Notamacropus eugenii: one gene and its partner. The protein of the gene in region 1 interacts with the protein of each later gene in a biochemical or structural test. Links are inferred from orthologs where the notes say so. Each region holds a gene or a part of one and is shown on either strand. Other genes may lie near its edges.

Region 1 (7,611 bases):
GCCGCTCACAGGAGTCAGGCGGCGGGGGCTGATGCTCAGAGACCTCTCCGCCTGTTGGTTTCATATTTATTCCCGCAGCCTTCTACTGCCCGTCCTGACGTCGGGGCTACAAGTCTCTTTGGGAGAGATCTGCCAGGTCCGGGTGGGGAAGAAAGGGGGAGGGGTTTATTTTCACGTCCTGGGTGTGGTCGGTAGGAAATGTGTGGCAAGCAGTTCGATCAGAATGCCTCTTCCATACACCACAGGGCAAGAAAAATGCCGACGAATCTGGATAGCCTGAGGTTTGTGCAGACCGAGAGAGGGCCGGCTCAAGGTCCTGGCTAAATGGGCTGGGCGCCATCCATGGTGGTGTGTGTGTGTATGTGATATGTAAATATATGTATGTATTGTACATATACATGTCTGTATTTCAATGGTATACCTTAAAGGCTTAAGCGTTCATTTAGCCCCATGTACCTACCTAGGCAGGCCCTGGGCAGATGTACATGGAAAAAGCTTGATTCGGGCCACGTATTTCGCATTCCAGAACCTCCCCTTCTTCCATCTAGACTACGAGGTCCACCTGCCCAGCGCCCTATATTAAGCTATCAACTGCACGGCTCACACTGCCACCTCTGCCTCTTGCAGTCCTCCCACCTGTTCGGGATTCTGGTGACAAAGTGCGGAGGCTGGGCCAGAAACTGCTCCAGGCCACGCGCCCGTGCTTCTCAGTCCAAGCTCCGCAAGCCAAGCGCTCAGGTGTGCGGAACCACACCCGCGGTAAATGTATTTGCCAGCTTACGCACCTTTAGAGGGCCCGAGTCTCACGTGTCTCGTTCCCAGGGCTGAGAGTGCCAAGATTTCACCACCTACATTCCAGGCGCAATGGCATAAGGGGAAGGCGGAGAGGTGGCTCTGTGTTCTAGAATTAGCTGACGACATCCCCTTGGCGCATTGTGCCCTTATCCGGATATGGTTAGGCACCCTGCCTGATTTCTCCGGGAAATCTCACTTTCTCCCCTGAAATTCGTGGTCAAGAAGTTGAAACCCCTTCTTTTCTCCCTCGCACCTACCAACTCACGTAACTCATTTCTCACCTCTTGCCAATTTCGGCATTTGTTTATTAAGAAGCAAATTATTATTACAGTCGGAACCATGTGTACCTCCGAGTGATTCTCCAGCAAGTATGGGACCTGAAGATGCCCCTATTTGGAATCTTCGGGGATGGAAACACTCAGGAATCTAAAGGGGATGTTGATTGTTGCCAGGACGCAACGACGCATTTTGAGTGGAAACCCAGGAAACGTATTTGTTAAGAAGGGTGGAGTGGGCGAAGGGAGGAAGACCCAGGAGATGGATGAGGAAAAATCAATACAATCGAGCTTTTTAAAGGAAATAGAATAGTAGCTGGAAGAAGGGAAATGGGACAACTTGACAAGCATACTAGGGGGGAGGAAGGGGGTAAGCACTTAAAACGGGGCATTAGGAAAGCTAACCAACACTGCACAAACTTTAAGGGAGAGGAAGGGAAAGGGAAAGCCAAGATAAGTCCTCAGGACAGGAAAACCCTCCGGTCTTTGCGCTTCTCCCCTCCCCTCCCCAGACCTAGGGAAGGAAAGAGAATAGATTTCCTTCCTATCTCCCCACCTACACCCCTCTATGCCCTTACACATTTCCTCGTCCTCTACCAAGGAGGTGGAGAGGGCTTATACATGGGCCAGTGGAAAAAGCTCATCCCAAAGCTAGAATGATTAGACTTCTGCAGTTACATTTTGCATATCTCCATCCCTTTCACCCCTTTCCGCATTCCCAGCGCCAGGGAAAGTGGGGAAAAGTTGGGGTGCCCTTACAATGTTCAAGGAGTAGAATAGAGAGGGTTGGGATGCGGGATGGGAGAGGGCTAAAAGGTACACTAGATGGGGACGTTCCTCTAGCTCACCCCTCTCGCTGGCCTGGATGTAGCGCACGATTTCTTCAGCGTCTAGGGTTTTGGTCTCGTCGAAGCTGTAGGCGGATGTGTGCAAACCCTCCTCCTGGAAGACCTCATGGACCCCCTCCAGGGTGAAGTAACAGTTCCGCTCCAGCTTGTCATCACTGTAGATCAGGGCAGCTCGGCTCCACTGCTGATGCCGGAACAAGGCGAGCATCATCTCTCCCATCTTGGCGTAGGCGGGTGCCACACGGGTAAGGTGCGAGAACTCGCTCTCCTTGTGCTTGAAGCCAGCCGCGAGAGCTCCGGCAGACAGCATGGGCAGGTCCCAGTGCGACGCCAGCCGGGCCACAGGTGCTGCAGCATATTCGCAGACCGGGCCCAGGATCAAGTCCGGTTTAGACCCCCGGGCCACTGCCACTCGATCAACTAAACTGAAGAGTGCCTGGTTGCCGCAGTGCGAATCCTGATAGTCCACCTGGAAGCTGTAGCCCTGTGGAAGCAGCTGTCTCCTAGTCCCATTTTCCTCCACGCTACGCAGCGCGTACTCGATGGCCGGCTTGACCCTGGCCAAGGAGAACATGTAAGCGTTGTCCTTGGGTAGAAGCACCAGAACCTCGATCTTCTGCGTCTCTTCCACCACAGGGAGCCCGCCGCCTCGGTTTCCGCTGCTGCTGCCGCCGCTTGCCAGGAGCGCCCAGCTTAGCACAGCGCAAGAAGAGAAACTGAGTAACAAAAAGGATGGCATTGCGCTGAAGAGCAATCTCTGTCACTCACCTTAGCCCGTCTTCTTCCCACCACCTTCCTCCTTCTCCCCCTCCCTTTCCTCTACCTCCTTAGTCCCTGCGCCCCCTTGGGTGCCCTAAGAAAACAGAATTCCCCTTCTACCGTCAAGTGACGGGAAAAAGGGCCCTTCTCTAAAATGTTACCAGTTTTTTTTAAGTTTACACCTATGACCCTATAGTATGTTATATAGATATTTCTCTTTCCTCCTATATACTATTTTGCCTAGAGGTGACTTCTTTTTTTTGGACGTTGTTGAGATTGATTTTGAAAGAATGGCTTGCAAAAAAAAAAAAAAATTAAACTTGTCCAAGTGATTGTAATTGACGGAGCATCTGCCTCCCGTTTGATCTCATTGATTCTCCCTTGCTCCTTGATACATATCCTCTGTTTAAATAGTGTGGTAGCGGACGAGCCTGTTACCACACATGGAGCTGCGAGAACGGGTTTGTATTTCGAGCGGGTAGGGTGGGGGGTTGACGGGGGGTTGGAGGGGAGCCTCTCATTAGCATTCTTACATCAGGACTCCTCCCCACACCCCTTCCCTCCCTCCTTCCCAACCTCAATCCACCCACCACCCCGACCTTTTTCTTAAAGTTGCAGCACACGTAACACACTCATCTCCCCTCAGTTCATATCCACAGTGCACACGCGCCTTTTCTGTTCTCCAACTCGCTCCAAAACACAGCAGCTCAATTCAGGCGCCACCGCTTCAGCTCAAAAGCTACTGACTAAAGATCCTTATACAATTAATTTGCAAATAAATACACAAGCGCCAAGCAAAAGTAACAACTAATCAAGATCTCGTCTGACTTTTACTGGCAAGGAAACTTCGGGGGTCTCCCCGTTAGAGCGCGCGCGTTCTCCTCTTTCCCCTCTCTCCTTCCCTCTCTTTCAGGCAATGCAACTGAAGGGGGAGGAGGGGGTCCCTAAGTCCGGAGGAGGAGTTATGTCGCCCACTGTCTATCTGTCTCTACTATCCAGAGCTCTATTGAGGCTGAGAGGTCTTTGGCATTTGAGTTGGGGAGCCCAAAGAAAAAAGTTTGCTTTCACAGCTCTTAAGTGACCTAGGCGAATCCAGTATCCCGGCGTCCTCTACATACCTGGGACACAAGCTAGCCAAGCCCAATTTCTGGAGGTCGGCCCGCATCCTATGCTCTCCCGGCAGAAACTGCCTTAAGCCTTTTCCCCACTTACCCGTTTTTTCCACCTATGCAGATTCTGCCTTTCCTCTGGTTCCGGAGTGCGCGGGCGCTTCTCTTTGCATATATTCTTCCCAGGAGTGAAGACCAAGTGAAACCAAGGAGCGCTTTCCCAAAGAAGAGCGCGTGGGGTGGGGGGGAGGGGAAGCGAAACTTTTTGCTTGCAGAGGGTGACTTCCAGCCCGTGATTCCGCTTCTCCATAGGCAGTTGGAATATGGCAAATGTTTGCAAACCGCCCAAAAAACGTCCGCAGGACTTTATGGGCACATAAAGGGGATCTTTCATTCCCCCACCTTTGCAAAAGAGGATGCAGCTCTGAAGAAAGAAAGATAACAGGTCCGAAGTCCTGATCTCTTGCAAGTCAAAAGGCAGGAATGGAAAGGATTTCATACAAGGCAGTGGCCTGACTATCAAGTCAGGAAATCCATGCTTTCCATGCGTATTCAAATAGAATTCAGCATTCTTATCCTTGGTATATGTACACGTAAAACATTATTTGTTTGGGTCACGTACTTCACTACCTCTACGAGATTAAAAAAATTTAATTCCACAAATTAGAAAAATACTAACCATCAGAATTTCGTTTGAATACTTTCACTTAACTTTAAAGAAACTTAAAGCTTTCCCCCTATTAATCCCAGGAAAACGCCCTCTTTCGGCAGAAAAATTAATATGGCTGGTAACCTTTGCACCACTGCTCCAGGCTCTGCATTTTTGTCTCCCAGACTAGAATTCTTGTTTCTATTTGTATTTATAATTAAGTGCTTCCTGATAACTTTGTTTTCCTCTGGCTGAACTAATTAATACAACTCTTCGTTATGCTAATTGAAAGAATAGAAAGTATGCTTAACTGAAGTTAATTGCAATCTAATCTCAGAATCTAACTTTAAGTAATAAACTGTCTCCTACTCCTTTGAAATCTCTTATTTAAAAAAAACTACTTCAGGGAAGGAAGGGAAGGATAAAATTAGAAACTCAAAACTTTTTTTTTTAAAAATCAATGTCAAAAAGTTATTTTAACATGTAATTAGTGGAAAATAAAGTATGTTAAAATTTAAAACTACTTAAAAGTCACTCTAAAATATTTTAATTTCACCTAATATTTAATAGCAAGAGAGGCTGCCTGGAATAGTGACTGAAGAGCTGGCTCTAAAGTCTAGAACATATGGGTTTAAGCCTTGCCCCTGACTCTTTGTAGCCCAGTAAATCAATGTATAGCTTTGAACCCCAGAATCAGAATCTGATTGTAGAGGTGTCAATTAGTAAAGGTAGAAAGAGTTTCTGTAATGGGAGTTCACTATACAACGGAATGAACACTCCTCCTCTTTATGCCCCTTATCCCAAGCAAAGGACCAGGACAAGATCCACAACCGAATAATTGCAAATGCACTTTATTAGACAATTTTAGACATAGGGTTTTTGAAGGAAATCAACAACTAAGTTCCAGACTGAATGAATTTCTCATTTTAAGCTGAAGATCCTAAAGAATATGAAATATCCTATTCTTCATATTATGGCTTCCTAGGATGAGCACAGTCAAAGGCAAAGTAATTCTCCAGTTTGTTGTTTAAGTCTTAAAGAGAGAGGCCCAGGGTTTAAATGGCATGAGTGAATTGCCTCTCACTTTACAGATAGATGGTCTTCTCAACTTAGCCTGGAGGTCATTGTCAGGGCAGTGCATTTAAGTTCAGCTTAATACCAGAGCTTTCAGTTTGGAGGTTTTGAATGGGAATGCCTCATTTTGAGTGTATAACCCATCTGTAAACTTTTAAAGGAATCTAAAAGATAAAAGAAATTAAGGAGAAATTTTGCATACTGTACTTCAATAAACTAAATAATTAAACGAGTAGTTTATATTATTCAATTTCCTCCTTTTCAAAACATCCCTCAGAAAATGTTGAAGAGAAATTGGGATTTATCAACAGTATTAGACAAACGGAAATTGGCATAAAATCAGGTAAAGGACTAATTATAAATATCAGTGGTAAAGTATGTACATTTTAGTGTTGTTGAATTATTTACTTCATATCAAATTACTGTTTGAAAACCAGTAAGAAGTTTACATAAGTATCAGTGTATAAATATGACTTGTCATTATGCACACACACACACACACACACACACACACATTAAGTCATGTCTTAAACTTGGAATGGGTCTTAGAAATCATCTAATCCCATCCCCTGATATAACATCAGGGAACAGCCCCAAATCTCTGTGTAATGAGAAAATTCTAATTTCCATATTCATTTTCATATTCTGAGAATTATTTGATTATTTACTAGTCCAAACCTGTGATTTGATCGGTGAGCTATTTTGAGTGCAGAAACTCCCTCCACCTATTCTGATCAATAATATGTCTCTCTTTTATAGTGACAGAGTTGGATTAGGAGACTACTTCCAGCAGACATTGAGTGGTTAAGTGACTTGTCTGTATTCTCACACCTGCATGTTTTAAACAGGCACCACCACCTAGCTGGATTTAGGGAAGGCCTTGGAGTTGAGAAGATCTGGATTCAAGTCCTGTCTTGGACACACACTGACCATTTGACCATGGACAAAATTTAGAATTATTTGTTGATAGGTGGTATATGAGCCAAATTACAATATGTAAACCAAATTCCAACATGTAAAAGAATAGACAATCTTTTGTATATAGTGGAGTTCTCTTGTAATGATGCTTTCAAGGAGAGGTGCTTCCCGCTTTATTTAAAAAAAGCAATAATAACCATAATACGTAGAATGTTTAGATGGCACAGTGGATAGAGTTTGGAGTTCGAGTGCTGCCTCAAATGATTACTAGCTTGTGACTTTGGGCAAATTGCTTAACCTCCCTCCATCTGTTTCCTCCTCTATAAGATGAGAATAATAATAGCATTTATCTATCAAGGTTGTTATGAGGCTCAAGTAAGATTTTATATGAAATCACTCTGCAAATGTTAAAGAGCCATATAAATGTAGGCTATTGTGGTGTGATAGGATGCTGTACTATGTTTATTACATGAATGACAAATATTATTTACAAAATAGAAGTATTACATCCCTGAAGGATCCAATTTTAAAATTATGCTTCTCTGAAATTGTTTGAAACATTGAAAGGAGAAAGCACATTTTTTCTCTCCTGTCAGAAAAGCATATGAAACTACAGAATAGATGTTGAGAACATGCTCCAAAGCAGAATAAAATTAATTGGGGGTGGGGGGACTATTTGAATACTTTATGCAGCCTCCATATTTAATTTGTGACACAAATGAATAGTAATGTCATAACATTTAGAAATCATTTAATTAATTGTGTATAACATTTTAAATCACGAAACCAGAAGACAAGGGTAACAACTTTTCTAAAGAGTATTTGTTTATCATTTGTTTAAGGACCTATGAAAACAAAACACTATCTACTATGGCAATACTACATCCTTCCTGTAATAATTAAAACATTTGGAGCTAGTATTCTATAGAGATTATCAAGGATAGCATTTTTAAGGCTATTAGAAACAGATTGGTTGTCTCCACCAATTGTTACTCTCTCTACAGTAACCCATCATTGGAATCACAGTTGTAATTGTTAAATCTTGCAGCCAGCTTCAATTCTTAAGGAAGGCCTCCACCCTTCATTTAACCAGCTCCAAGTAATACTGAAGAACATCCTTATGAAGCCTGCTGCTCATTCACAGAATGCCTCCTGGGGAAAGGATTGCTGAAAACACAGTTCCC
Region 2 (7,850 bases), on another chromosome or scaffold:
TAGCATCACAGTTTTAAGAACAACTTTGAAAGAATAAGTTATTTTGTCTATTGCAAATGCCCAAATCAACTATAAAGACACTATCTGCATGCAGAGAAAGAACTGATAAATAAAGGATGTATAGAATAACTTTACATATACATACCTATTTGCATCTAATAGTAGCCATCTCTAGGGTGAGGGGAGGGAAGGAAAAAAAAGAAAATCATTTACAGGATAATTTGGTTGTATATTTTAATTTGGTTCTATATTTGAAAGAAATAGCAAGTTGCACATAGTAGATTTGCAGTTTCTTGTATAATCTCCTGTTTTATTCTATAATTTAAAAATAAAAATTTTTAAAAATTTCAAAATTTTGAGGGGAAGTAGTGGTTAAGGTAATATTGGTGTTTGTCAGATAATTGACTGACTGAGTGAGTGAATGAGTGAACAAAGGAAATGGCCCTTTGTATTCCACTAATTAATTTTAGGCTGCTTTTGCTGACTGATATAGCAAAGGTTAGCAGGCTTCATCTCTTCTTCCCTCCCTCTCTTTTTTCCTCTCTCTCTCCTTTTCTCTTTCCTTCCTCCCTCCTCTCCTTCCTTCTTTCCTCCTTCCCTCCATCCCTCTCCATCAGTTTCCCATCAGCAAGGAAAGAAGTATGCCAAATGGTTACAAGACTGGATCATGCAGCCTGCATCTTAAGCCTCTCCTGATCTCTGACTTACTCTAAAAACAGCCTCCCCACTCTGTTTAGAATAAGATGGACCAGTGGAAGATCAGCGACCCTGAAAGACTCATAAAATACTAAGAAATTTTTTAGCAAGAGGATTGAAAACAGGACAAAATCCATCAATAACTCAAGTGAAAGGGAAAGATTGTTGGACTATGTGTGATTCAGAAGATTTGGTGCTGGGAGCTGGAGATACAAAGGGGGAGGGGTGGGGTGGAAAGTCCCTGCTCTTCAGAAGCTTATATTCTGTTGGGGAATGGAAAAGGGATACAATTTATGCAGATTAATTAGTACAAAGTAATTTAATTTTTTTAGAATTAAATTTTAATCATTTAAAAATTTTGAATTCCAAATTCTCATCCTCCCTCTCATCCCTTCCCCACCCATTGAGAAGAGCAACGTGATGTCAATTATACATGTGAAATCATGAAAATACATTTCTATATTAGCCATGTTGCAAGAAAAATAAAGTGAAAAAAATATGCTTCAGTCTATACTCAGGTTTCATCAGTTCTCTCTTTGGAGGTGGATAGCATTTTTCATCACAAGTCCTTCAGAATCATCTTGATTATTATATCGTTAGATCAGAGTAGTTAAATCTTTCACAGTTACCATATTGCTATTACTATGTACAATGTCCTCCCAATTCTGTTCACTTTTCTGTGCATTAGTTCATATAAGTCTTCCCAGGCTTTTCTGAAACCATCACTTTTTATAGCACATAGTATTCTATCACAATCATATACCATAACTTGTTTAGCCATTCCCTAATTGATGGGCATCCCCTCAGTTTCCAATGTTTTGACACCACAAAAAGAGCTGCTATAAAAATTTTTGTACTTACTGACTATAGTCCTTTTCCTACAAAGTAATTTTAGAAGAGAAAATGCTAATAATTCAAGGGATAGTCAGAAAAGACTTTATAAAGGGTATAGCACCTGAACTCATTCATATTTCACCTGTGGCTCTAAGAAACTGGAGCATGCTCAGCAGCCACTCCCCATAAACCATTTTGGCAGACAGGCTATATCAGGTTAAGCGGAACCAACAGGACTCATATCTAATGGTGAGTTAAGGGGATGTCTACCCTAAACATGAGAAGACTTCCTCCCAGTGGAATGGGTGAATGAGAACAACTTGTTCCAATGACCATGAAAGCAGCTGAAGCAGGAGCTGTGGAGTGCTTAGAGCTTGGTCAGACACAGAGTGTCATATACTGCATCCCAGGTCATTGGCAATCATCCAGACTTTTGTCTTTCCATTGGACTATGATGACTCTGAAAGAGAGAGTGAGTGGGGAGTCAAAACATCGCTGTGTGATGTCATTGGTGCTCTTTGAGATAAAGGAAGAACAAGAGCACATGGGCTGAGTTTTGATAGAAGCTTAAGATTCTCAGAAGTAGAGGTGAGGGATGAGGAAATCCCAGGCATGGGGGACAGGTTGTGCAAATGCATGGAAATGGGAGATGGCATACTGAGTTCAAGGAACAGCTAGTAGGACAGTATTGTCCTATATGTAAGTAAAATACATGAAGATTAATGATATGAAATAAATCTTTAAATTTATATGGGAGCCAGATTTTGGAGAGCTTTCCATTCCAATATTAAGAGTTAATACTTTATCCTAGGTAAAATAAGAAGCCACTAGAGATCTTTGGAGGGCACTCTTGCTTAACTGGTAGAAGATGGATAATAATCCTACAAAGCCGACTAAGATGGAGTGGTCAGAAGGATCAGGGCAGAATACTGTCATAGAAGCCAAGGGAATATAGAGTTTCTAGGAGAAGGATATTGTTGACAGTGGCAAAAACTGTGAAGATGTCAATTAGAATGAGGATTGTGAAAAGAGCATTGGATTTAACAGTTAGGAAATCAATGGTAAGCTTCTGCTGTTTTTCCTTCATTCTTGAAAAGGACCATGACATTAGGGAGGTAATGCCTTGCCATGCACGTGAATTGGAGTTAAATGAGGGAGGTCTGTGTGAAGTCGCCAGCTTCACTTTTTTCTCCGGAGCCATCTGGGTCCAGTGGCCAGATAGGGATCAGAACAATTAGAGATGACCCAGGATGCAAAGGGGGACCTCGACTTTTTCAAGCCATTTCCAGGTCTCAGTTTGATTGATCCAATGCCCATTCAGTGATTAAATTTTAATAAGAAATGAAGCAAAGAACAGCCTCTTAAAAAAAGAAAAAGATTTGTGAGGGGAAGACCCTCAATAAGGGATATAAAAACAGAAGTTACCAACAAAATGTTTTTAAAAACTAAATCATTGTTGTCCTCCCAAGGAAGTCAAGTGAGGGGGTTGGACCTCTGGAGTCCTTTGTAATTCTAAATCTTTGAGATTACCAAAGAGGAGAAAAGGGTCTGAACAAGGATTTGAGTGGAATGGTAGTACAGATAGGAGAGATATTTCAGAGGTAGAATTGAGGGAACATGGCAATTTTAGGGGGAATTAGCTTTGTTTTTGCATATTTGTGATGATGGGTTTTTTGTCTTTTCGTTCAATTGGTGAGAGATGGAAGTGGATTGAGAAAAACTGCTTTTTAAAAAGGGAGTCTGGCAACTGATAAATCAAGAAGCATTTATTAAACACCTGCTATAAGCCAGGCACGATGCTAAGAACGGGGATACAGAGAAAGGCAAGAGACAGCCTTTGATCTCAAGGAGTTCACAGTCTAAAAGGGAAGACAATTGCAAACAATTATGTAAAAACTAGATATGTACTGGGTAAACTGAAGATAATTTCAGAGGGAAGACACTAAGGTTAAGGAGGACTGGGAAAAGGGATTAGGGAAAGGAAGTCCTCAGCAATAATTCCAAATCCAGCACTCTTTGCACTCCACCATACGTAGAAAGTATGAGAGTAATTTTATCCCTCATTTTTGTTTTTCAAAATTTCATAGTAATAAATTATATTGCTTAAGGGATGGCGCAACAAGCCGAAGACTATCTATAGGAGTGATATAAAATCAGAATGCAAATTCTGGAAAACTCACATCTGTACCTGTGGGGAGGGGGAGGAGAAATGATCTGGCGCTTGACCATCTTCCTGTCTTCTGGGGCTGCCTGGTACTTGGATTTGTTTGCTACTTAACTAGGCTCCGAAATGTGACACAGTTCAAGGAGGGTTATGTGATGGACCGCCGGCACCATGGACAGCGGCAAAAAATGCCCAATTCCAGAGGGCCATAGTGACTAGATGACCGCAGGACCTACCAGAGGGATTTGAGAGAAAAATCAGTATGGGGGAGGGGTGGGGATACTGAATTCCTGACCAGAGCGGCCACCCCACCCCTTTCCTTGAAGCGGGAAGCTGACTTCATCCTGCAAGGTGTGCATGGAGGGAGGAGGTGACTGGAAAAGAAGATGATGTGAAGAACTTGGCCTGTTCTTGGTCAGCCTCTCCTTTGTCACTTTTCCCTCCCTCCCCGAAGGGTGTTTGCTCCCAGATATCTTCCTTCATCCCATCTCCAGTTAGATTCCTCTCAATTAACTCTTGTAGGACCCTTGAAAGAGGAAACTCCTAGGAGGCTTGGGGTCAGTGGGAGGCGAGGGGTGTGCTGAGCAGGAGAATTGCGTACCCACTTCTTAGTCCCATAGCTGTATTCTCTTCTCCTTCCCCATCCAAGAGAGGAGTCTTCACTGTCAGTTGTGCCAGTGAGTGTTGGGATGGGGTGTCCCCAGGGCTTCCTTGCCCTTGGGAAATTTAGGTGGAAGAGAACAGAAAAGGGAGTGTTTCTCTAGCTCGTTTCTATACAAGGCCATCCCTCTTTCACCAGTCCCTCACTCCCACCCCTTACATTCAGCTGAGACCCGAGTTAGAAAGAAAAGGCGGGGGATCAAGGAAGAGGGGGGCAGTACAGAGACTGTGTGAGACCGCGGGGGCGCATTCTCCGGCTTTGAGCTCAGCGAGGTCGGAATGTGGCTGATAAGTCAGAGATAACCCCGGGACCAGGAAGGGCAGGGGCAAGGCAAGGCAGGGCTCGGCTTCCAGCCACTGGGAATAAATAGCGACTGACCCAGCGAGTAGCCAGATAGAGAAAGCCAGAAGGGCAGAGAGAGGAAAGAAGTAGCATTGTCTGCGGCAGCAGCAGCCCGAGGTTTCTCCTTCGCCCTCCAGTCCCCTCCTTCCAAAACATGGACTCCCAGAAAGCGCTGCCCAGCATCTTTCTGCTCCTGCTCCTTCTGCAGCTCCAGGGCAACTTTTCCCATCCCTTAGACCGACCTCGCCAGGCTCGGGAGCTGACCGGGGTCCAGGTGAGCACAGCACATAGTCTACGGGTCAGCTGGCAAAAGGGAAACCCAAATCTGCCTCCTACTCCCACGCCCTTGCTCCGAGAGTTCTTCAGAACCACTGGGAAGTGATAGGTAGGGGTCTGGGATTGGGAGCACCAAGGGGAACCTCTGGATGTGTATCTCTATTCTCCCTCCTTACTAAGGGATTTCCGAAAGAATCATCAGACTGGCAAAGCCTAGAAGATACCCAAAGGTAGCAGAATGGCCCCTGAGAAGTTCGAGTAACCCTAGATTCTTAAGGTCTTGTTGGCGATGCACTGGGCGCCGGCGGGAGCTTGGGGAGGGGACTAGAAGAGCTGATCTGCAAGGGGGCTCACAATTCTTGCTAATCTGTCTCCTTTACTTCCACCATCCTTCCAGGAACTGCTGTACCGACTAAGGGACAAGATCTCAGCTTTGGAGGAGTTGGAGATGGCGGAGCCTGAGCCGAGGGAGCAAGAAGAGACCCCGGGGGAAGGCTGGGAGAACAGAAAGCCCGAACACCCACTGGTGCCAGAAGGCAGCCGTGTCCATAGGGTCTCCACCTTCCAGGCTCTGCGTGGTCTGCAAAGCCCGAAACTAATGCGAGAATCAGGCTGCTTTGGCAGGAGGCTGGACAGAATTGGCTCTCTCAGCAGCCTGGGGTGCAATGGTAAACACTCCTTTTCCCCTGCCCTGTCTCTTTTCTGGCTTAATATCCCCAGGTGCCCCCTCCCCACCCCCATACAGTCATAGAAGACCTTCTTCTCAAGTAGTCACTCTATCACTTAGACTCCATCTCATCTCCAGATTTAGTGACCAGAGAACAGAATTGGGGATAGAGGAATCCAGTAAAGGAACCAAGGTTACAAAATGCCATTCAGAGACACTTAGCTTGTCTCCCGCCCCCAAGGCTGGAACAAAAGAGAAACAGAGTGAGCTCAGGGGGACTGCGCGGTTCCCTGGGGAACAGCAGAGGCTTGCACAAAGATGCCAAAGAAGCTACATGGAGAGGGGAGGAAGAATCCCACAGATATACTCCTGCAGCCACTTGCTCATTTGGCTGGCTTTTAATTTTTTCTTCTTTTCTTATGATTGATCGACTGGCAAGTTTCCCCCACTTGGAGGGCACAAGCTGAATAGGAAGACATACTAAGGACATAGAACCCTTTGAAAGAGGACTCCTCTGCCCCCAAGAGACCCACATTCTAGTCCTAGGTCTTTCCTGTCCAAATTTAGAAAAGCTCCCTGTCGGTAGCATGGGAGTTGCTGTTGACACAGCAATGCTCCCTTATCATGTGGTTATTTTCTTTTATCTTTGCCTTTTTTATGGACTAGCAGAAAGATCCCTAGATATGCAGTCTGGGGACATGAGTTCAATTCCAGATACCTTCCATTTGTGGCTTTTGGGGAAAATCACTTAATTTTTCTGTGCCTCAGTTTCCTCATCTGAAAAATGAGAGGGTTAGACTCAATGGCCTCTGAGGCCCCTTACATCTTTGGATCCATGATTCCACAATTTGGTCAATGAAACATCCCATGATCCCCCTTGAGTCTTCTCCTTGTTTGTATCTGAGGTCTTCCATTGGCAAGGGCATAGTTCAGCTCTACTAACAGCCCTTGGGGTTAAAAAGGCTGCAATATTCCATTATTTCCATGATTCAACCATCCAAGCTCCAAGTGTCCCAGATGCTAAATGATTGAGTGTTATTCTGTAATGGCAGCCCCTGTGGGGAATAAGGGTTCATTCATTTTCTGCTTCCTAGTAATGCCCCCAAGCTTCTCATAGTTGCAAAGGCAGGAGATGAAATCGTTCAGTTGGATTGTTTTTCCCATTCTGCAATTGAGGAAACAGGCTCAGAGAGATTAAAGGACTAGAATAAGTTTCAGGAGTCAGTGTAGTTTAGAGGCTAGGACAGGAAAAGAAGTAAAGAAGGGGAGAGAGAGGCAAATTTCACTTTAATGCCAGGAAAAACTTGCTAATTATCAGAGCTGTCCTTTGGAAATAATGAGTTCTCCTTTACCAGAGGTCTTTAAGGAAAAGCTTGATAACCCTTTGTGGGGAAATGGTTTTTGCTCTTTTTGAATTACCTGGTCAATGAGGTCTCTTCCTACTCTGAGAATTGATGATCCTATGAGGTGATAAAGTCAAACAAAACCCAGAGAGAAAAAAAAAGAAAAATCGAGATTCTACTTCAGCTCTGAGCCTCCCCAGGAATAACCTTATTTTTCTCTTTTCTCCTCCAACAGTGTCAAGAAGGAACTAAGAAGTCCCAGCCACCTACTCCCTAACATCTAATTCTCACTGAGGCTTTTCCACCCCCTCAAAATGACTCCTATTTATTTGCATTTATTTATTTATTTATTTGGTTGTTTTGTATAAGCTGGTTTCTTACTTTTGAGCATGGAAAATTCATGGTTAAATAAAATCAGCCTGATTTTTTAAAATTTTGGAGCCATTATTCTTGGAACATTAAAAAAAATCCACCTACTTCCCTCTATGTGCCTGTATTTTATGAAAGATGCTGACTTGGATGGGACAAGGAACTTCAGTTTAGTTCATTAAGTGTTTATTAAATGCCCATTAGATGTTAGGTCTTGGGGTTACAAAGACAAAAGTGAAAGATCTGTTCCTCCAGGTGCTCACTTTCCACTGGGGGAAAAACCTATATACAGATAAATACAAAGCATCTGAATGACTGTAGTGGCAATGTGAGGATGCAAACATCCAAGTGTTGGAAGATTTTGGGGAGTCCATATTATAGGAGACTTCTAAATGCCCTGGAATCAATAGGAACTTCATAACCAGTTGAAATTTATTGGAAACTGCTTCAGGGAAGAGAGGGATAGGGAGCAAAGCAGCTATATGGTGTGATGTTACA

Evidence for each region.
Region 2: the proteins of NPR3 (region 1) and NPPB form a complex in vitro, tested with the Homo sapiens proteins (4 studies listed by BioGRID, with this or other methods). The link is inferred for Notamacropus eugenii from reciprocal best matches to the Homo sapiens genes NPR3 and NPPB.

Annotation. Positions count from the first base shown.
Region 1 is NC_092875.1:427,906,150-427,913,760, reverse strand, and holds the start of NPR3 (atrial natriuretic peptide receptor 3), read right to left. Parts: upstream 3,131-7,611; 5' UTR 2,658-3,130; coding exon 1,919-2,657; intron 1,167-1,918; exon of another isoform or gene 1,096-1,166; coding exon of another isoform or gene 1,077-1,095; intron 998-1,076; exon of another isoform or gene 922-997; coding exon of another isoform or gene 786-921; intron 733-785; exon of another isoform or gene 522-732; coding exon of another isoform or gene 461-521; intron 1-460. UniProt on the Homo sapiens protein: Receptor for the natriuretic peptide hormones, binding with similar affinities atrial natriuretic peptide NPPA/ANP, brain natriuretic peptide NPPB/BNP, and C-type natriuretic peptide NPPC/CNP.
Region 2 is NC_092876.1:51,287,998-51,295,847, reverse strand, and holds NPPB (natriuretic peptides B), read left to right. Parts: upstream 1-4,739; 5' UTR 4,740-4,851; coding exon 4,852-4,971; intron 4,972-5,370; coding exon 5,371-5,641; intron 5,642-7,218; coding exon 7,219-7,235; 3' UTR 7,236-7,416; downstream 7,417-7,850.